4 linked regions of the Drosophila melanogaster genome follow. The gene in region 2 interacts genetically with the main gene of each other region. Each region holds a gene or a part of one and is shown on either strand. Other genes may lie near its edges.

Region 1 (7,943 bases), on a different chromosome or scaffold from region 2:
GCGCGGGAGTAGGAGTGGGTGTCCCTGCAGGACTTAACCTGGGCGCCGCCTTGGGTCTGCCATCGGGCAACATGCACTAGATGCGGGCTGGAGCTCATCGGGTAGCATGCAATAGCTCCGGATTTATCCACTCACATTCTTCCAGCAGTTAGAGAACACTTAGTACTTACACGCAGAGAAAAGCATAGATGATAGGCATAGCAATTTACCCTCGTAGGCGTGGCTCCAGTTTTCCTTTTAGCAATTACGTGCCATGTTCAACACAAGACTTGATTTCACATTTTCCACATTTGACTGACCTTTAGGCATACATATGTATCGAATCCCGCGGCTTGAATTTGATTCCCATCACTCTTTGTTTTCCAGTTTGGCATGCAAAATTATGAAGCAAATCGGCAAATTAGTTAAACAATTGGCAAAACGTCTGTGATATTTGAATTATGTTGGCAAACGGAAGACAAAACTAAATTTAATTTATTACGTTGTGTGCCCTCTGTTGTAATGTCTTACTTTTTACTTTGTGCAATATCTACTAAGCATATATTCTTAGCCGTTCTCGTGCAATCGACGACTTTTCGCCCATATCAAAAGCAACTCGAATGTAGCCTATACTTAAACTAACCTACTGATAATCGGACATGATAGACGCGTAAGACTTACATTATATTTTGCATTAGGACTTCAGAGTATCTGAATAACAATTGGCGGATGGCCGCGGTGGCGAAAGCGACATTACGAGTTGTGTTTAAATTTAAGAAGCTGAAGAAGGGTTGTACTCCGCATGCAAGGGCTATTTAAATATATATTTTAACCCGCCCGAGCTCACCATTACCAGAAATTCGATAAACGAGCAAACAGTATTATACGCAATAAAAAGACACCTGCAACCATAAGTATTTACCTAGCTGATGTGTGGGAATTTATCGTAACATACCATATTATCGCTTAATGTTTAACTTCTGGACTTAATAATAAATAAATATTTTATTCTACGACAAAGAAGAACTTTTCAATGTAACATTATTAACTGCTTTAAGTCATATCCTTAAACTTTCGCCTTGAAAATCTTTAAAACCCTACAGGTATTCCAAATTAATAATCTCAGGTGCTAGAAATTTAATTAATATATTTTGGAAACAGCATAAATTAGTGAAAATACAACATTGTTTTAATCAAACATTTTTAAAAGCATGTTTTCGGTTGCAAAGTTTTCCAATTTCAATCCTGAAATTAAAGTTGAGTTGAACAATTGCTATAAAAAGCGACCATTTATTACGTTTTATAAACTGTCCCGATTGTGATTTTAGTTGTTTATTTTATTTCATATTTAAAACCGTTACTATTTTAAAAATCGTTCGCTAAAGATTGTGCTTTTAAGCATTGATAACTATCGCTAATTGCCAGAATTCGTAATCTTATTTGACTTGAATTGTAAAAATATAGGATTTAGGATTTTTACCAAATAGATGTAGTTCAAAGAACACAATTCTTTTTATTATTAAGCATTTTATTTTGGGAGTTCCTTGCACTAGCTTTTTGCAGCGACCTGTGTGTAAGCTTACATTGAGATAACATTAATGTGAACGTGCAGCGAATGCAGCACTATAACATTGGCCAGTGGAAACATGATATTTGCTAGCATGCTGACTGGCGCCGTGGATTTTGACGTTCTTAGTTGACGGTCACACAGCGCACCGAGCTGCGTTTTTCGTTGATAATTTTTAAATTTATTTATTAGTTTATTGGTTGGAAATAGAGCTGCCCCCAACTGCCCGCTGACCACGGAATTATCGGTCCGGTCCACCGACCTCCGCTTTCACACACTATTCGGCAATCGATATATACGCTGACGGTAATTGGAGAACGTTTTTTCCATTTTATCTCCACCTTGTCCGCACTTCGTTTTGTGCTCTCTTTGTGCGCTGCCTCCGCTTAACATTTGGGCCTGTAAGAAACACATATAAGCAGAACGGCCCGCCGTGTGTGCCTGTGAAATTGGTTAAATAACGTACAGTGGAATGGGCCAATGGCCAAAATGCAATAAGAATATGTGTGTGCAATAAAAATAGGGAACGGTACCGTGCCCCAAAACATGAAAATGGTGCTAGACGCTCCTAACGCCGTGCCGAGCTGGCATATTTTGCTTAGCGACGCCGTCGGCTCCGTTTTTCCCGGCCGCGAACTTTGCGCGAGGAATTTACAACAAAAACAATGAATTAAATGGTATTTAAATTGTCCATATAATGCGGTTTGGAAATGCGAAATTGTGCCTAACTTGCCCAATGCAAACGAATGTTTCTCTTTGAAGGCCCTGCTTAATGACGTCACAAGCGTAGCAGAGTGCAACAGACAGACAACAATGACCGATGAGCATAAAAGTAACATTAACAGTAACAGCAGTCACTCCAGCAACAACAACAACAACGGCAGCAGCAGCAATAACGACAACAACAGCAACGACGACGCAGCAAGTAGCAGCAACAGCAAAAACAACAACACCAGCAACGAGAGCAGCCACAGCAACAACAATACTAGTAGCATAATTGCAGAGGCGGCCGCCAAGTTTCTACTGAAAAATGGCCTAAACGGCAGTAGCAGCACCAGCTACCCCCCTCTGCCACCGCCTCTGCCCGCCAACTTAAGCAGGACGACCACGCCCACGACAACGACAACGCCCTCATCCTCCAGCTCCACCGCCTCAAATGGCTTTTTGCCGCATGCCAAGACGCCCAAAAGTAGTAGCATTATGGCTGCGTCCGCCGCAGTGGCAGCCAGCGTCGTTGGAGCTACTGCGTCCAAGCCCACCATCGATGTCCTGGGGGGCGTCCTGGACTACAGTTCCTTGGGCGGAGCTGCAACAGGCTCACTGCCCACCACTGCAGTAGTAGCGGCGGCAGCGGGAACAGCGAAGATCGGCAAGGGAAGCAACTCCGGCGGAAGCTTTGATATGGGCAGGACACCAATATCGACGCACGGCAACAACAGCTGGGGCGGCTACGGTGGTCGTTTGCAGTTCTTTAAAGGTAAGTATCTTGGTTTATTTATACCGAATCAGAGCAGTGTAAAGAAAACCATTTTTTAACTATTCTGCGTAGATGGCAAATTCATATTGGAACTGGCGCGGTCCAAGGATGGCGATAAAAGCGGCTGGGTTTCGGTCACGCGCAAGACCTTCCGCCCTCCATCGGCGGCCACCTCCGCAACTGTGACCCCAACGTCGGCGGTGACCACAGCGTATCCAAAGAACGAGAATTCCACATCGCTGAGCTGTACGTAACACATGGCATAGTAGTTCCCAACGGATTACCCCTTCCATTTAATTACTTGACCCGATTGGAATCAGATTTGAGTAAAAGGAATTGGATTTTGAAACATGTGTAGATAGCTAGCTTAATCCGAGCGGTCAAAGCTTACAAACACTTGCAGTTATAAAAAACATGTGCCTATTTGACTTAAATTGTTCTAATGGCACGTAGAGGATAAAGTCCAATTTCGAAAACAAAAAATCTGTAAAAAACGACCGCACCTATGTTCAAATCTCTGATCTATTTTAAAACTGTATATATCGGCCATCTCTAATATTATATTTAAAATCTACGAAAATGTCAAACGTTTTAATGAAATAGTAAGAAAAAACCAAACTGTTCAGAATCGGTCATGTTCTTTGTATGACAGTTTTCCAATTCGATCCTATAAAATATAATGTCCTCCCATCCTTGTATACATTTAAATCCTATTTCATAAATTGTTAACAATCTGAATCAAACAAAAGCAAATATTTATTTATGCCAAACTATAATTAACTACTACAATTTGTCTATGTATACCTTGCGTTAATATTCCTCTTCATTGCAGTTTCGGACGACAACAGCTCGATACAATCCTCTCCTTGGCAGCGAGACCAGCCCTGGAAACAGTCCCGACCCAGGCGCGGCATATCTAAGGAGCTGTCGCTCTTCTTCCACCGCCCCAGGAACAGTACGCTTGGCCGAGCTGCTCTCCGGACAGCCGCTCGCAAACGACGGCGCCCCCACGAGCCGCTTACCACCAGCGAGGATCAGCAGCCCATTTTTGCGACGGCAATCAAGGCGGAAAATGGAGACGATACTCTTAAAGCAGAAGCTGCAGAGGCCGTTGAAATTGAAAATGTTGCTGTGGCGGACACAACCACAAATGAGATTAAAATTGAAAAACCGGACACGATCAAAGGCGAGGATGATGCTGAACGGCTCGAAAAGGAGCCGAAGAAGGCGGTTAGCGATGATAGCGAGTCAAAAGAAGCATCGCCCGGTCAGCAAGTGGAACCACAACCAAAAGATGAGACTGTTGATGTTGAGATGAAGATGAATACGAGCGAGGATGAGGAACCCATGACAGAGCTGCCCAGAATCACGAATGCCGTAAATGGTGATCTAAACGGCGATCTAAAGGCGAGCATTGGGAAACCAAAATCCAAGCCGAAGCCAAAAGCCAAGCTCAGCAGCATCATTCAGAAACTCATCGATAGCGTACCAGCACGGCTTGAGCAAATGTCGAAGACATCAGCTGTGATCGCATCGACAACGACGTCTTCAGATCGCATTGGTGGCGGTCTAAGTCACGCCTTGACGCACAAAGTAAGTTTTACTTGGCACAACCTGCATAAGCTGCGGTTTCAAATGTTAATCATGTACTGCAACATTTTTATTATGTTAAAGTTGTAAATCTAGTTAGGGACTTTCATAAAGAAAAAACTTTGAATTGACCACTTAAATATCTTCTTTTAGGTTTCTCCACCCTCTTCTGCGACAGCAGCCGGACGACTAGTCGAGTACCACACCCAGCACGTGTCGCCCAGGAAAAGAATCCTGCGCGAGTTCGAAAAGGTGTCGCTAGAGGACAACGGATGCGTAAACAACGGCAGCGGTGGAGCTAGTAGCGGTGGTGCTGGAGGAAAACGGAGTCGAGCAAAGGGAACTTCGACATCGTCTCCGGCTGGCAAGGCGTCACCAATGAACTTGGCGCCACCCCAAGGAAAGCCAAGCCCCAGTCCCGGCTCCAGCTCATCCAGCACTTCGCCAGCGACCTTGTCAACGCAGCCAACGCGGCTCAACAGCTCTTACAGTATCCACTCCCTGCTAGGTGGGAGCAGTGGCAGCGGTAGCTCATCCTTCTCCTCCTCTGGCAAGAAGTGCGGCGATCACCCGGCAGCTATTATCAGCAATGTGCACCATCCACAGCACTCAATGTACCAACCCAGTTCCTCGAGCTATCCACGCGCCCTGCTCACCTCGCCAAAGTCGCCCGATGTGAGTGGCAGCAATGGCGGGGGCGGAAAATCGCCCTCGCATACAGGAACCAAGAAGCGTTCGCCACCGTACTCGGCGGGATCACCCGTAGACTATGGCCACTCCTTCTACAGGGATCCCTATGCGGGAGCAGGTCGTCCTTCCACATCGGGCTCAGCATCGCAGGACCTGTCGCCACCGCGCTCTTCCCCAGCATCGCCAGCCACGACGCCGCGTACTGTGCCCAAAAAGACTGCATCGATCCGACGCGAGTTCGCTTCACCGTCGGCCAGCAGCAGTAGCTGTCCCTCGCCCGGCGACCGGAGTGCATCGCCCCCGGAACGGCGGCACATGCAGCAGCAGCCGCACCTACAGCGTAGCTCGCCGCTGCACTACTATATGTACCCGCCACCGCCCCAGGTGAACGGGAACGGCTCGGCCGGAAGTCCGACCTCGGCGCCGCCCACGTCGAACAGCAGTGCAGCTGCAGTAGCGGCGGCAGCAGCGGCCGCAGCCGCATACATTCCCTCGCCTTCGATATACAACCCGTACATATCCACACTGGCGGCGTTGAGGCACAATCCGCTGTGGATGCACCACTATCAGACAGGAGCGTCGCCCCTGCTGTCGCCACATCCACAACCCGGTGGCTCAGCGGCCGCCGCTGCTGCAGCTGCTGCTGCGAGATTATCGCCCCAATCGGCCTATCACGCGTTCGCGTATAACGGAGTGGGAGCGGCTGTTGCCGCTGCAGCAGCTGCGGCAGCCTTTGGACAACCGGCGCCCAGTCCCCACACGCATCCGCACTTGGCCCATCCGCACCAGCATCCGCACCCGGCTGCACTGACCACCCACCACTCTCCCGCTCACCTGGCCACGCCAAAACTGACTGATAGTAGTACCGACCAAATGTCTGCAACGTCCAGTCATCGCACAGCCTCCACTTCGCCGAGCAGCTCGAGCGCATCGGCCTCCTCCTCGGCGGCCACTTCGGGCGCCAGCTCCTCCGCAATGTTTCATACTAGTAGTCTAAGGAATGAACAAAGTTCAGGTAAGCATTCAATCAGTGCACCAATAATGGCAAGCAGTTTGATGATTCAATTTTCATTCCTCTGGGAATGTCTGAAGAAAATATATTACAGATCCATTTATTATGTTGTCAATTTAATGCACGTAAAACACAATTTAATAACGTTTCTTATTTATTTCTTCCTTAGACTTACCACTGAATCTGTCAAAGCACTGAGACATACACACGCCCCAGCTGCCCCAGTTTCTGGGCCAACCATTCGAGTTAAGAACATTTTCGCACTAGTAGCGCTTAAGACGACATTCAATACACGTAATATAATTTGATAAGTTCGCTGATAGTTTAGTTGTAACCCGATTGTTTAATCCTAAGCCTAATCCTAGGTTCTCAATTAGGGCCGAACATTTAGAAATCGCATACAAAAAGAGATGAAAAACTCAACTTTGTTTTTAAACCCGTTCCAGAACTCTTTATACAATCAGTTGAGAAATTTTATTTTCGACAAACTGAATAAAATATGCAAAGGAATTTTATTCTATGCCGACTAATGGAAAGAAATACTAATAAAAACATTTTCTATAGGATGTATAAAATGCAAGTCTTAAAGAATCTCAAAAAAGAGTTACGTTTTTTTCATCAAAACATTTCCTTGAAACAGACTGAACCTGAATTTTTTTAGAAAAAAAAAATGAAAAACTTAGTTACGAATCGCAAAATATAACATTTTAAAGTATATTTAACAAAACTACAAGAACAGATTTTTATAAAATGCTTGTGCCTTTAAAAATGGAAACAGAACTAGGGATACAAAAATTAATATTAAAAAGAAAAAGAAGTTTACTATAAAAACATTTATGTGCAAGCATGTGCAGGTATTCTATGGTGAAAACTTTAGAATTTCTTGATATCGTGGTCCAAAATGCAGTTGACAGGAATTTGCACTAAGCAGATTGTATACGACACCAACTTTTTAAGTACTTTTAAAAATGTATCTTTTAATTATTTCGGAATAATTATTCTAAAATAGTTAAAAGATAAAAGCAATCCAAAACTATACAACTCGTCTGTACTTCAAAACGAAAGAGATTACTCTTTGGTCTTACATTTTTTGGTAGACTGTAAAAACTAAAATTCGAAAAAATTGTTGAAGTTTGAATTTAAATCCTCGGCGGATCTAAATTTAACCTCCACGATTGTTGTCACCATCAAAAATATTATATAACTGTGCCTAGTGCACATTCGCTGTCAGTGGCTGTCCAATCAAAAACAAATAAAATGTACAAAAAATCCACATATACGACAAATTTACAAGAAACGGAAAGCAAAAAGATCCTAAGCAGACAATTTCAAACCGGAACTCGTACAACTGAAACTGATACAAATAAAAAACATATTCCTAACGCAAAAAGACAAAAACAAAACGCGGTTTCTCATATTTTCTAAATTATTTATATAAATCAAATGTCTATTTATATTTACTGATATGATAATGTGTAAGTAAATAGGTGTAATTGTAAATACAGTATTTTTACACAACAAAAAGTTAATCAATACGCGAGAAATAACCAATATATTTAATATAACTATTTTTATAACGGATTTTAACAAGTAACTGTATATTTTGTATCTGATTACGCAGAATAAAA
Region 2 (5,138 bases):
CTCTTCCGTGCACTTGCCGTGCTCTTTCTCTTACGTCGTTTGTCTTTCGCCTCACACACACACACACACACACACACACACAACAGCACACATTCACCCATTCCCCATTACGTTGTTTCTTTTTGTTGGGAGCAATGCGGAAGTGAATTTAATTTATTGTATTTACGCTGCTTTTGCCGCTTTTCTGCCGCCGGCTGGTCACCAGGCCAAGTCTCTAGGGGAACCAGGAAAGGAAAACAGCCAAGCGAAATCGCAGCTTCTACAAATTTTATTTCGTTTCCCGCTAATTGAAGAGAGAAACTGTTTATTTTTGAGAAACAAATCTTAATACATCCGTGCGCACAATCATAAGCAGGTAAGTAGGGACAGATTAATTTAAAGACATTGCGTTATAAAATTATTTACCAGCCTAGGGGATTGTTTACGTTTTATTTATAATAGGTCTTTGTGTTTACCGATAAGATATTAAAGCTAATAGAACATTCAATTTTTTTTTTAAATTTTAAAAGTGACTTTAATTTTAAAAGTGAAGTGAAATTTTCACCACCAGTAAATCATTCTTTTCCTTGGGAGCTATTTAGTTGACCCAAACAGTGCATGTGTTTGTTTTATACATAATGAAATTTATTGGCGAGAATTCTGCTCTCGTCAAAAAAATAAAATAACGGAGGTGGCGCACGATCAGGTGTGTGTCTAGTTCGCTCCCCCCACCGCCACCCCCTGAAATCACATACATACATATATACCTTATAGCTGCGGCAGAAGCAGGAACTGTTTGGCTGATTTGTTCGACGTCGTCGGTCGGCAAAAGCAAATAAATAAACACAATTCCGCTGGCTGTTTTACTTTTTTTAAATGTACATACTACATATATGTATATGCACATAAGTATGTACATACGCTTTTATGACAGTGTGGGCATTTCTTTTCGCCATAGCGCCCCTGCGATAAGATTTCGCTGACGCTTGCCAGAGTCGCCGGAGTCACCCTAATTGGAGCTCAACGCTCCGCTTTTGTTTCACTTCACTTCCATAGAAAAGTGCATGCAACAAGAGACTCGTGAACCGAACAGAAAGAACGATTCCGAAAGCCCGGTTCTATAGCATATAGCATATAGCGCAAAGCACACCGATATGCACTCCGATAATTACCGTTTTCATCATTTTTGTGGCGGAAAACTCGGACCTGGCCAATATGATGCAACGGGCATTACGAAAAGCACCCAGGTACCGTAATGTGGAGTGGAATGTGAAAATAGAAGAGGCTATTTTCCAAGTGAATCGATCTTGTTCGTATTGTAGAATGCTAGGGAATCGGTGAAGCGTACCGTGCATACAATGAGAGTCAAGACACTGGGCTTGGGAAGAGAAATTACTATCATATCATATTGTTACTAGACTGAGCTATGAGTATTTGCATATGGTTCTCAACCAACCACAGGTAATAATTAATCACAATCCAACTAGACTGTAAGAAATATCTAATCATATTTGGAAACAAGAAGAACATACAACAAATTATGCGCAACAATCAGATAACAAAACAATAATTAAACTATAAAACCACTCCCAAGATCCCCATAAAATTGTAACTCTTATTATTTAAACAAGCCCCAAATGAAAACGCCACAATCAGATCCTCTGAACAGGCAAATAAATCAACTAAACCTTAGATAAACCGTTGTTGCCGAGTCTTCATCCATCTCATATGAGTGTACTGCGAACCAAATATAGCCCAAGTTATCTGTTTACACGTGTAGATCCGACAAATTGTTGACCTCAACCAGAGACCAAAACTCAGACATTGTAAGACGTCGGGTGGAGCGAAGTGGGGAAGTCATATGCAGCAGATAACCAAAGCCAGATTAAGGTGGAGCAATTATTTATCAGCTGCTCAGACAAGACACTTTTCTGTTTCCATGACCATTGTGACGTAGTTATGGGAAATACATGTACCAAAAGATGGTGTTTTAACCAATTCGTAAAAAAAAGCAACGACGGCAATGGAGTGATACAGGGGTAATGTCTGTAAACACCGATTCTTGCACGATTACGAATATAAAAGAACTCCAGATATAAAAACCATTGTGCTTACATATTGAGAAAAAATGTTTTTATTTTTGACACTCTTTTCTGCTACTATTTTGACAATGGTTAATTTAACAGTTCACAACAAAAAGTATACAAATTATCAAAATTCTCACCTGTTTGCTCCACTGTGCACTGTGGTTACGTACTGTAAGGTGAGTGAGTGAATTTGTCTGTTTGCGTTGGGCTTCGGATTCGATTCTTGAGCTTTTTAGCGACAGAAGCAACGCGGAAGCGGATATGTCCAGATCCCAGAATGCTTTAGCTTTTGCTTCGCTTTCTTGTTTTATTTTTGTTTTTGGTTTTGTTTCTGTTAATTCGATGTTGTTCTTGTTGTTATCTGCTGATGACGAAGAGGGCGTCGCGCCAAGTTGCCATTGTTGTTTGTGTTGCTGTTTCCTTTTGGTGAGGGGCGCCGCGTGGGCGGTGGTTGTGTGCTTTTGGGGCTAATCCAGGCTCTCTGTTTTTGTTTTTGTTTTCGCTTCGTTCTGCGACAAATGCCAGCCGTAAAGCGGAGCAAATGAATAAGAAGAAGGCGAAGTCAAGCGTTTTTACTTCCGCCGCCGCCTCAGCAGCACGCACACACAGGCAGACGCGGGCACACAAACGCACACGCACACTGTAAGACACTCACGCGATGCACTTGCACTCTGGCGTTTTGTTCGTGTATTTGTTGTTGTACTTTGGCATTTCCTCTTTCGTCTTCCTTTTCACTTTTGCTTGCACTTCTTGTTGCGTTGCTTTGCTCTCGCTGATGTTGCTGTTGTTGTTGGCGTTGTTGCTGTCGCTCTTGTTTATTTTTTATTTCCGTTTCGCGCACACACACACCGGGCAATGTAAACACACACCGAGTTAAGAAGAACCGTTTATTTCCTCAACGCCGCGCACGAATTAAATTCTATTAATTGTGAATTAATCAATTTAAAACATATTAGTTTGCCATTTACAGCAGAATGTCTAGTTGCTTTCAGGAGCGACTCTTCTACACGTCCGCCCAGCACGGCAGTTTCTTTTTGACTGCCGATTCGATTCGAACAGGCGGCGAACATGAACAAGTCGGCGCATGCGGAGAGAGAATCGAAAGAGAAAGAGAAGCAAAGAGAGCGACATACAGCAAAAACAATTCAAAAAGAACTGGTGAAGAATACGAAAATAAGATAATTTTTTAAGGAAGTCGCGCTTTGATCCGTATCCGTTTTAGCGTCCAAGATTTATATCTTAAATCGGACCTATATTTTGAGGTACAGTGAAGCTTTGATGCGCCAGTCTTATATGAGTTAAAGTTTTAACGATTGAAAGACACCCCTGAGCTGCTCATTATATTTCAATATTTATAAACAATCTTATATCAGAGCTTGAGAGACTTGCATGCGCCACAAAATTCCAATTCCAATTCCGGAATAATTTCACAATAATCTCAATTAACATACGTATTTTATGTTCGTAATTTTTTAAAATTCCCAGATTCCCCACAATTGCCATAATAATCTCGATTATGTTATTATACTCTGAGAAGTAGGAGTGTGTGCAAAGACCACAAACAAATCATTAGGCGCGTAAACATTTACAGATCCACCATCCACTTCCTTGGCAACGAAAGAAGCAACAGCTCGCAGAGGTAATAATTTAAATAATTTAAAACCCACCAAAGTTTACTACGAAACAACTCAATAGGCAACCGCTGTCTGTGGGCGGCGTCGAATTCGCGTGGGGCGCTCGATTTAGTTGTTAATCAATAGAAGATAAAGTTTAAACAAACGATTCATGCTGATACCAGAAGCATGGGCGCCGAAATACCAAGGGATCGTTCTCTCACTAGATAACATACACACCTATTGTGACTGGAAACTTGAAATGATCGAGCATGCCATACCCATTAGCTGTCAATTGTGACTATTGGCGAGCTTTTTGCACATAAACCATAGATAAGACAATTCCGTGAACTCTAATCAGTGTGCGATAATGCTCTCAAGCATTTGAAATAATTATGAATACGACCCCCTGGCCGAAAATGAAATAAGCGCCACGCGCCTGGGAAAAGCGCTCTATTGTAATACAAAATGTTTGGAGGTGCTAGCTGATAGGTGTTTTCGATCCCATAAATCTTGGATCTTCATGGAAACCAGTTGGCAATCTTTAATTATAAATTGTTGGAACATTTCCGCTCGGCTGCGACGGAAAATCTCTTTGGAAAGGGGGCGGGGCTGGGGTTCCTCGTCAGGTTGCTTGGACGGTCGGTTGGTCGGTCGGTCGGTGGGCCTGAAGATGCGCTCAGTTGCACTGCATCCGCTTTGGGGTCTCCAGTCGCCTCAGTTGGCTAACCAGTTTCTCCCCGAGCAACGAGCAACGTTTACGTTGACATTTCAAGTCAAATGCCCATAAACGGCGACCAGCCGGACGACCCCGCCCACGCCCTGCACGCCCCTGCTCAGTTCCGTGGGTATGCACTGAAAGAAAATCTAGATTAATGGGCATTTAGGTAAGTAATAAATAGTAACATGTATTTTTATGGCTATAAATAGTTTAGCGAGTAAGCCTCGTGATATGAAACATTAAAGAACTTTTAGATTGTGACTCTAATTAAGAAATATAATAGAGATATTTTTTTCAAGTGCTATCTTTTCCGTCGATAGCTGCGATGGCGATGACGACGTTTCCAAGTGATCGCCGCAGCGACGATCACTGGCCCAAATTAGTAGCTTCGGTCATGGTGCGTCGCCCATCGGGAAATTCCAGGGTGAAAGGGTGGCTGGCGGAGGAGGAGGACGGGGCGGAAGGGGCAGAGCTGCCGATGAGGATCGCACAGGGGTCAGAGTTCAAATAGTCGTCCAATTGAGCCAATCAGCGTTTGTACATCTGTATTTCGCCATTGCAATGCAACCAGTACGCCTCTGCTGCGCCACCTCCCACTCCATTCAGATCCATCCGACTTGTCGGGTGATCGCTATAGTCGCAGCTCTTAGTTCTTAGTTGTTAGTTCTTAGTTCGATGCCTAAGTGCAGATAATTCATTAAAATAGAATGCCAATGTCCAGAGGCGGAGGCAGCGGCA
Region 3 (5,171 bases), on a different chromosome or scaffold from region 2:
CAGATGAACACATCCACCGCCGATTGTGTGGGTGAGTGATTTTTGAGTTCTTCAGTTTTTCAGGCACCACAGGGCGTATACTTGACGCGGACATTGAGCTGCGCCGGCAGCGGCGTCGACGTCGTTAATTGAATTATAGTGCATGCGTATGTATGCTTGTAAGGCCTGCAAAAGGCTTAAAACGGTAAAAAAAATATTTAATTTCAGCCAGCAGGCGGAAATTGTGAAATAAGCCTAACTACGTGTTTGGGGTCCGGAAATTACTAGAAATCCTTAAGAAATAACATTAGGTTTTATTTGGTAATTGTTCTTTAAATTTATTATGAATCTTTGATATCCATGTAAGTAAAAATTTATGATCTTTGGGCAACTGTAACTATATCTGGAGGGTTACCACTGCTGCCTTCTGGTTTCCGTCTTTTGCTTAGCTTTTTTCGGCCCATTCTCTTTTCGCGAAGATTTCTGCCTGAGTTACAAAACATATTTTGGTCACTGACCTTTTCTGTTTCTTGTATTTTTCGTTGATTCCTCATTTTTTTGCTGACTTTTGAGCGTTTTTTGTTTGTGTTCCACTTTTGAATTTAGGTTTTTGCAGTAGTCGGAGTTTTTGTGCAGATTGCTAATTAAAAAAGGAGATATATGGGGTACACGCGCGACTTGTATGCTATCAGGATGGGCAATCGGGGCAGCAGAACCCCGAAAGCGAAATACCTGGCGTTCTCCGCGAAGGTGATTCAAATCAGAAATGCATTCAAGAAAAATTTCATTTACTTGTAATGCCACAAGCCCCAGAATATGAAAAGGAGTATCGTGTGGATGAAAAGGTATACCACATGAATATACACGGGGAAACCGCGCACAACAGACATTTATTTAGCATGGCAGCTGGCACTTGCGAATGAAATAAATAAATATAAAATCATTTTAAATAACAATAATCAAGGAATGTATTGTGCAAATTTGGTTCCGAATAATTGTTGAATACGAAAAAGGGGCAGGAAATCGGCGCAAGATGGCAGATACATTTAAGTAGAATTTGTGAAAGAGTCACGTGCACTAAACCAATGCACCGGAAAAATTTCCTGTATTATTTCAATCATTATTTGTTAAAAATGTTTTAACATTTCTTGCCCTGTGTACTTAAGGGAGAGTGAGAGAAGAATAGATAAGAGAGTTCTGCCTTTTCCTATCCCCCGCTGATATTGCGTATACGCCGCTTGGACTTTTACTGTTTCGACTTTTTATGGGTTTCTACGAGCGAAAACAACAATGCATATGTTCAGATCGCGTTTGCGTTGTTAGTCATGTCATCCTCTTTCTCTTTTCCCTCTTTCATTGCTGCTTTAACCGTTTCGATCGCCGGCTAAACAACAGTTATAATTCGAGCATAATGTTAAGTGAGCGCAAGGTGTTCACAAGTGTCTTTGTGTGTGTGGGGCAAACAAACAGAAAAGCTTTCGCGGAGAGCGGGAAATATATAGTAAAGAGCGCATAGTGCTGCTCTTGTCGTTTCATTAACAAAACAACCGCAAAATTTATGTGTGATCTGAGACTGGGCATTCGTTTCCTTTTCGCCCCAATACAAAGTATAATTCACGATTTTTGTTGTTGCTGCCACTGTGTGAAGTGGGTTAGCGAATTAAAAACAACGACAGAAGTAACAAATAAACATAACATACAAAGACAAATGCAGATCGGAGACGAAGATTGTGTTTTTTGGGCTGTGATCTTGATTTGCATAATTGAATTTGTGGCTTAGCGTGGAGCACAGGTGCAAGTGTAGAGTTGCCCCTTGGCCAGGGTTGTCAGGTTTCCTTCCTCCCAAGAATAGTAACCAACGTATAGAGTTGTAGCTCACTTTAGTTATTGCGATTAAATAAACGTAAAGCCGAGTTACACAATCAATACATTGAGTCCAAATAATTTGTGCAGTGCAAACATGTTGCGTACATGGATTACTCATTCACACATTCACTCCATTGGTTCATTCAGAAAAACACCGCAAGTGTTGCAGCCACTGGAAGCCACCAGAAGGCACTGGAACTGGAAGAGTGATCAAAAGGGGTGCGCCGGGCGAATGACGACTGGATGTGGAAGTGGGGGATAAAAAAGGAAATGGGCAACTGCAAATGACAGAGATCACTGAAGCACGACCGACAAATAAGCGGCGGACGAATCTATGTATCTAGTATCTGGTATCTAGTGTGGCGGCATTACTCCCCATGTGCCGTATACGGCATGTGTGCATTTGTATCTGTGGCTGTACCACTATCTGTATAAGTTGGATACAAAAGCGTCTTTCCAATAGGCGTGTGTTGGTGCATGTACTGAGCGTGTGAGCGGGAAATTGTTAGAAGAAAATGTATCTGCTAGGCTTTTAAGACTGCTAGATTTCCAAAACGACCCTTGGCCAATTTGTCAGGCTTTTATTGCTATAATTCTGTAATCCAAAAGCTATTAACTGCTGATTTTGTCATCAATTGTTTTCGACTCCTGCGATGTCCTGTTTAAAGTGATTAGATTCTAATCCAAAAATATAATTCAGTGAACATTCAAATCTTTAAAAAAATCACTACGGACTCCAGAAACAAAAGCCAGTTAAAGAACTTTTGAATCTTAATCAATAAAATCCTCATCTGAGATTCAAGATAAGTCTTAAGAAGGTAATAAGAATACTTAAACTTGTCGTTTAAATTTGAACACTTGATGATTTGACCTTTTTCGAAGACTATTTCGTGGATAATCTCACCACTTACCAATTTTACAAATATTCTTGGTAATCCGTTTTGCGGTTTCTTCGGCGGAAGAAGGCTTGCAACACTCGAAAGTACTTGTTGTTGTTTCTGTTTCTTCTCTTGTTGTTGGTTACACGTAATTGGCAACCGAGGCGAACACGGAGCCGAAAGCGGGTTGCGAAAAGGCAAAAGGCAAAGAAATCAGCTGAGGAAACGCCGCGCACGAACCTCCAATCAGAACTGAAACGGCAGGGATGTCGACGTCGACGCAGAAGCCATTTTACCGCATTTGTTGTCCCTGAGCTGAGCCCCAAAACCGAGAGAGAGAGAGAGGCAGAACGAGCACCACAGAGAGCCGCTAAGGTGGATACACAAAGCCGAGCCGAAGCCTTACCGAAAGCTTTGATCACACGGCACGAACTGAGCTGGGAATAGCATGGAATATGGGAGTATGGGAATTGGTAGTGGTAGTGGGCGGTATTTGTAGTGCTCCCGTTTCACATTGCTCTCCCGCTCGCAGGGCACCAAAAACGCAAGTGGATGTGGACGGATGAGCGGACGAAATGGAATGGCAAGAATCGAACATTTGAATGGGGCTCCAAATGGTTAAGAGAACAGCGCAGCCGCTGCTGGCAGCGAGAGCGAGGGAGAGCGCAGTCCCAACTTGACATTTCCATTTCGCCGCTGCGTTGGCGCTCTGCCCTTATGCTCTTTCTTCTCGCGCTCTCCCGCTGATAAGCTGGTGTTGAAAACAAGTCTCCTGCGCTCTCGCTCTCTCTCACCGCCGTGACCTGCTGCTCCACCTCTGCGCCCACCACCCCTTCGCTTCTCTGCTGCATCAGCGTATTACGAAATATGACAACAATGCAGTTTGGTCGTCCTCGTTTTCATTCTGCCGACACAGCGGCTGCTTCTTCTTCAGTCCCATCTTCACCTCTCTGCTTGTGCCTGCTCAGCATAAATGCCATCTCTCCGCTCTCTTTGGGAACACCGGAGTATGGAAGAGTGTGAGAGAGGGGGGGGGGGAGAGAGAGGAGAAAGAGAGAGTGGGTGGCTGGTGCTTGTTTGTTATTTTCTCCGCGCTGCACTTGCAAATTGATTGTATTTTAATGAAGTTCTGGTGCCCGCTAAAAATAGTCAACTCTCTATTCAAAGGGGAGGATCGTCGCCGAGGGGCGTGGTGCGGGAATTTCTATCTGGGCGCATTCCAAGTGCAGCAATATATCGGCAGTAACTAATTCCAAATGCCAGCTATTACGACAAACTGGTTTGATCGGAAAAGCGTGCCTCGTATGCTCGACTCTCTTATTCGCTCAACCTCCCACCGACTGCCCCGCCCCCCAGCGCCCCTTTCGAGAACGCTCGCGCACACTTCTAACTGAAACCGAAATGATTCCATGTTTTCCCCGCTGCACCGACTTTAAGTTGAATAATTGTTGCTGGGGTTGCCCTGCACTGAGAGAATTGTTTGCAACGTAATTGTTTCTTTACGTTTTAGAAAATATCGCTACCTTAGATAATATAAACTTTATACACTAGTTTTGCTGTGCACGATGGCACACGTAACCCACTGGTCAACTGCCTGATGGGTCTTGGGAGCGTGTCGCTTTTTGGGTAACCCCCGGGACGGGGCGTTACCTGATCCGATCCCAAGGGGGGCTGGTCGTTATTAGGGCCCATTTGAAGGATCATTAGGCATGCATGGGAAAGACCGTCAATCAATGCGTGTTCTTGGGAAACGGCAACAGTTCCCCGCATCTAAGATTATATATCTGGCATAGATATGGGAGTTCTTTGACTTTGGCACCGCTGATAGTGGAAAAGGATTGAGGGACCAGACTTGGGCGACAGATAAGACATGTCTAGGAAGGCCGTTATCTCTCTCTTTATACGCTGATAATGGAAGCCTTAATCGCTTTCTTTAAGTACAATCGGTTAGTTAGGTTTGGTTTTAAACATATCTACATATGTGGACCCTCTGTTATGAAAGCGTGTAGTATGGGGATAGCTTTGAGCAAGTTATACGACTGGTGAAAAATTGGCTTGCATAACCCGCCATACCCTCCATTGATCTTTCCTTGCACACCATTTTATTGTTTCGCAAGCTTACATTAGCTTGGAAACTAATTTCGATGGAGCCCACAGACAATTACGTTTATTCTCGGCATGAATCACCGCTGAAGTGATTCAGCAGGGCGATCCAAATGCATCCCTCGGTTGCCTAGGGCCCACCCCTTTTAACCCCGCTCTGTAGCCAGACAATTTGCATTGCCTCGTGAAATACGGTCAGTGGACGGGACGAGTATCTGGTATACCCGCTTGGCTAAGCACTCTCTCTCGAAGGGGAACTGCCCAGAACTGTTCTGTTCTGGGACCGCGATTCAACAGGTTTGATCCGATCTGGCCGCCTGCCGGGCCATTTACTACTCGGCTTGG
Region 4 (4,826 bases), on a different chromosome or scaffold from region 2:
GAAACCTAACATTTCTAGGTTTGTTAGTTCCCGGAACTACTCTGCTAGTGATCAGGAACATGTATTCTATATATATATACTAAATATATATATAGTAAATATATATATATAGTAAATATATATATACTAAATATATATGTACTAAATATATATATATATATACTAAATATATCTATTCTAAATGTATATATATACTAAATATATATACTAAGAGAATATATATCGTAAAGGCTTCCATCTAGCTGTTGCATACTTCTATTTTAATTGTTGTTTACTATAAAAGCTAGTAGGTTGATATTCACCGTACAGATCCTAGAGACCAAGACGCAGCGCCACATTGTTGACTCATGTTGCCACGCCCACAAGCCGCACAAAACTTCCACGCCCACACTTTTGAAAAACGTGTTGATATTTTTTTTATTTTATTTAGATTTATTAGTCTTGTAAATTTCTATCGATTTTCAATTTTTGTCACGCTCACTTTAACGCTCTAAAGCCGCCGAACCAGTCACTCCCACGCCTTGGAACAATTTTAAAATTTTTTTTCATTTTACTCCTCAATATCTATTGACATCCCAGAAAAATTATGAAATTTCACATTCACACTAGCTGAGTAACGGGTACCTGATAGTCGGGGAACTCGATTATAGCATTCTCTCTTGCTTTTTTCTTAGGTCGAGTCACTGGACTTTAGAGGCCTTTTTTAAAATGCATGGATTTAAAATGTATTAAAGTAGGTTTTTTATTTGTCTAAAAAACTTCTTTGTGAAAAGCGAAAAATATTTATATATATATATACAAATATATTTTTTGTTGACAACCGAAAATAAACTTTCTTCGAAGACATATTAATACTAACGAACATAATTATGAGCAAGTAAACAGTTGAATTGGCCAATTAAGATTAGTGATAAGAAGTTTTACACATCTTTAATTTAGAATCAACCGATTTTTTCAACCGTTTTCAGTGAATAAATAAATTTCTAATATATATCCTCGAAAAATGTAATTTTCAAGTACTAATTTATAAAAAATATTTTGATAATATTTTTTAAATCAAAATGTTAAATTATTTGCTTTAAGTTAAGGTGGTCTAGAAAATTTAAATTTAACTCAAGCTTAATATAATATTGTTTAGTTTACTGTATTCCGTTGTTGAAGCCCATACATATATATATAAATATATATATTCGTAGATATGATTTGAAATTACATGGCGCCATCTATATCTGAAGGCACTTGAGTTTTGCACGTGTTATGTTGCCAGGTAAAATCCAAAAAATTTAACATACATACACAAAATATGAATAAAATTAAAAAATGGGTTACTTTTAATCTGGAATTACGTATAGAAAAAATGTAAATTAAAGTCAAATTTGAAAAGAGTCGTACCAACATTGGATGCTATGAATATTTTCATGTAAAATATTTGTAAAAATACATCATTTTGCGATTTTACTTGTAAAAATGTAAATTTACGCAGCAGTAAAATTCACATTACACAGAAGTACATATTTTTAAAATACAGATTAAACAACTTTATTATTTCTTAAGAATGAATTAAGAATGAAAAAAAAAACAAATTTAATAGTATCTATTACTTTTTTTTTACAAATTCGTTACAAACATGTGCTCGATACAAAGTTTGTGCGCAATGTTTCTCACGCAGTTATTTTCGAGCCGATGGCTCGTCCTTGTCTCTCTTGTTCCGCGTCGTACACCTTTATCGTTAAGTTTTATTTTTAAAGACCGAAAGAGAGTAAATCAGACAATTGTTGTGGCAGTATATACAATTTTGCGAAAAATCTATCTAAAGGAATCAATGCCTAAAAATAGTTGAACAATTTCCGGAAAGAACAATTTATGAACACAAATGAAAAAAATAATCTTTATTCGATTTGTCCATTAGAACACAAGTAGAATAATAACACGAAGTGTATGATGAAATCGAGTGTTTACATATAAAGTGTATTTATAAATTAAATATAAGTTTTAAAAATAGGATGTCATCTTTTGTTTCCATAATAATACTAATATAGTGTTGATCGATTTAGTAATATAAATATGTCGGAATAAATGGAGATAGTATATAAACCGATTATTGACCATATTAACAGTGAACTAAATAAGTAAAACAATTGTGGCTTCCTCTAACACAATGTGGAAATTACAATTAACAAACAAATAAAACAAAAAAAAATTACGACCTCATATTGCAACAGTCGAGCAACAGGGTAACGTTAATTAAAATGAGATTTCTATATAATTAAAAAAATGAAAACAACGCATGGATTCTGGATTATAACATAAATATTACGCTATCTAAATCTCATTAATATTGCAAGAAAATTTTATAAACAACGAACCCTGTATGAAATGTTGAAAAGTTGTACAATGGTGCTTGAAAAAGTACTAATTTAATTAAATTTGAGTCATCAAGGTGAACTAAGATTCTAAAGGTTAATAGAAATGTTTAAAATTTTGAAATACAATTTATCCAATAAATAATATAAATAAAATATAAAACAAAAAGTTAACGAATGACTAACACCGAACGGATTTTAACAGCAGGCTCCCACAAAATCCGATAATGCCACACTGTGGAACAACTAATAGTGAAATTAATTTAAACTCAAACGAATTAATCAGTTACCAGAAAAAGAAGAGCAATGAGGATCTACAAAAAAAGCACGATAAAAAATGTTCAATCAATTTGAAAACGAGCCAGGTCCCTGATGGTGGGTTCAATAACCAATATACGCAATTAACTGCCAACAAAATAGAACAATATAACTGCAATGATTTGGATAAAGTTTGTATTGTACCATCAAGTAGATCAGACGGAATGGAGGCATCGTTTTCCGAACTTCTTTTAAGTCCGAATAAATTAATTTCTCAGCCTTGGCAAACCGCTGAAGAAATAGAAAATTGGCAAAATGACAGTTTTCGCCAACGAAATGAAATGTTTTCTTGTATATATACGAATAGTATGCTAAATCAGCAGCCATGCTCGCAGCAGCAGCTTTTGGCCACACAACTTTTATACGCTCGGCTTCTTCGGTCTCAGCTAGCTGAACGGGAATTTCATTCGAATAAATTCAACATGGTTCATTATTCGGGATCTAAAAAGACCATGCTTCGAGAAGATGAGCTTCTGTCAACCCCATCTTCGCAGGATAATAATAACAATATTAAGTTAATTAAAGATATCGAAAACAGCATAAGTTGTGTAGATCCCCCTTTGTTTGAATTTTCTAACGTTCATCAAAGAGCAGAACAAAAAAATAAACAAGACGACAAAAATTGTTACTCACCAAAATTAAAATCGAACAAGGAAGCCCTAGATGGGTACGACTTACAACACACGTGTGATTTTATCAGGGAGCAAAAAAACATTCTTATCGACATTAAAAAAAAACTAGATAATCTCTCAGATAGCTCAGGTAAATTTAGGAAAAGGTTAAGTGTACGTCAAAGTCACATTGAAGTAAATAATGGCTCTAATTCAGCCCTTGAGGAAAGTGTAAGACGACAACTAAATGGAAATCGCAAGTCTATTGAAAACTTACTGGAAGAGGTAAAACGATTATATAATCAATGGAGCAGCGCTGAGCTCTATTATGTTCGCAGCTTACAACGATTAGGACTCCCATCAGAGGAAGATGGTGAATATACATCTACACCAACACATACTATCATGGCATTAGCTGCTATAGCACTGTCTAATGAAAGTATTTTGCCACAGAAAACAAATGCAGTGCACTCTAAGATTCCAGATGTTGAAAGTGAGTCCGATTTTTTTTTGACCTCAGCAAAACCTAAAACGTTGGTCGAAATAGAAGATATAATATTACAACTCGCATCATCTGTTAATATGCATCAATCCAGCTCTGCTAGCACCCCTCATGAATCCTACAGTGATAGTGTTAAAAGCGATTGCGAAGAATCAAATTCAGCACCCACTTGCATATGGCATTCGACAAGGCAAACCTTTCGCCACAAAAAAGACGTAGAGCCTTGTAGCACTGCAGCTGAGATTATTTTAGAATATGCTTCATTGTCTTCATCTTCTAACATTGAAACCTCTCGCTTGCTTACATCTGCATCAAATTTAACAGATGTTACAGAAAATTATAATGTCACAACGCAATTGCCTATTGTGTTTAATTACAATCGAGAAAGTTCAGCTGAGTCAATCGTTACCGATCCTCTACTTGTTCCTGAGTTTTCTACTGCACCTTCAACCCCATCGACTGGTAGTAATAGTGGATGCTCTACTGGAATGGTTTCTGGAATTTTCGGGCTAAGTCAAAACCGAAGAAAACAAAGACTTGCAAGGCACATTGAAACTCTGACTACAAATTCTTTTAAATCGAATGCAATAAGGGGAAATGTTGACAACGAAATCACTAATCAGCTGAAAACGTCGCCATCAATTAGAGCATTGCCAACTGAAAATGTTTCCCATTTAATTACTAAGACATTGTCTTCGGCTAATGCATCTTTAACAGCGCAGGAACTTTCCATAACTAACCTGTTTAAAGAGCGCCTATGCGCTTTACAGGGAAATGCCGGATCAATGAAAACTGAAATTTTTCCAATGATAGATGCCCCATACGACTTAAGTATTGGAAGCAAGACAAAACACATGTAATTTTATTTCGCCTTACTTGGTTAAACCCTTTATTTCTTTGTAAAACTGTTGAAGTCGATGCTCACTCCTAATAGTACCTATTTTCTTTAATGAACTGTTGATTATTGCAAGCAGCCTGTAGTTGTAAATTATACAAAAAATGTTGTAAGTTATAATAAATTGGTTTCGAGTT

The links.
Region 1: of aop (region 2) and H, changing one suppresses a phenotype caused by changing the other (phenotypic suppression), as found in Drosophila melanogaster (3 studies listed by BioGRID).
Region 3: of aop (region 2) and ttk, changing one enhances a phenotype caused by changing the other (phenotypic enhancement), as found in Drosophila melanogaster (3 studies listed by BioGRID).
Region 4: of aop (region 2) and pan, changing one suppresses a phenotype caused by changing the other (phenotypic suppression), as found in Drosophila melanogaster (2 studies listed by BioGRID).

Annotation. Positions count from the first base shown.
Region 1 is NT_033777.3:20,620,276-20,628,218, forward strand, and holds the start of H (hairless), read left to right. Parts: upstream 1-1,662; 5' UTR 1,663-2,220; coding exon 2,221-2,223; exon of another isoform or gene 2,224-2,308; coding exon 2,309-3,023; intron 3,024-3,095; coding exon 3,096-3,269; intron 3,270-3,855; coding exon 3,856-4,616; intron 4,617-4,766; coding exon 4,767-6,318; intron 6,319-6,484; coding exon 6,485-6,513; 3' UTR 6,514-7,943. Other genes in the region: CG5466 (uncharacterized protein), read left to right, coding at 1-80. UniProt on the Drosophila melanogaster protein: Is a potent antagonist of neurogenic gene activity during sensory organ development. The expression of distinct cell fates by the trichogen (shaft) / tormogen (socket) sister cell pair depends on the level of H activity.
Region 2 is NT_033779.5:2,175,644-2,180,781, forward strand, and holds the start of aop (anterior open), read right to left. Parts: upstream 3,112-5,138; 5' UTR 2,204-3,111; intron 1-2,203. UniProt on the Drosophila melanogaster protein: Ets-related protein that functions as a negative regulator of photoreceptor development acting antagonistically to pnt and the proneural signal mediated by RAS. It acts upstream of SINA to inhibit R7 development.
Region 3 is NT_033777.3:31,711,855-31,717,025, reverse strand, and holds the start of ttk (tramtrack), read right to left. Parts: upstream 3,160-5,171; 5' UTR 2,757-3,159; intron 1-2,756. UniProt on the Drosophila melanogaster protein: Binds to a number of sites in the transcriptional regulatory region of ftz. Isoform beta is required to repress inappropriate segmentation gene transcription and repress genes incompatible with development of photoreceptor cell fates.
Region 4 is NC_004353.4:88,624-93,449, forward strand, and holds the start of pan (pangolin), read left to right. Parts: upstream 1-1,731; 5' UTR 1,732-2,590; coding exon 2,591-4,650; intron 4,651-4,826. UniProt on the Drosophila melanogaster protein: Segment polarity protein. Functions together with arm to transduce the Wingless (Wg) signal in embryos and in developing adult tissues.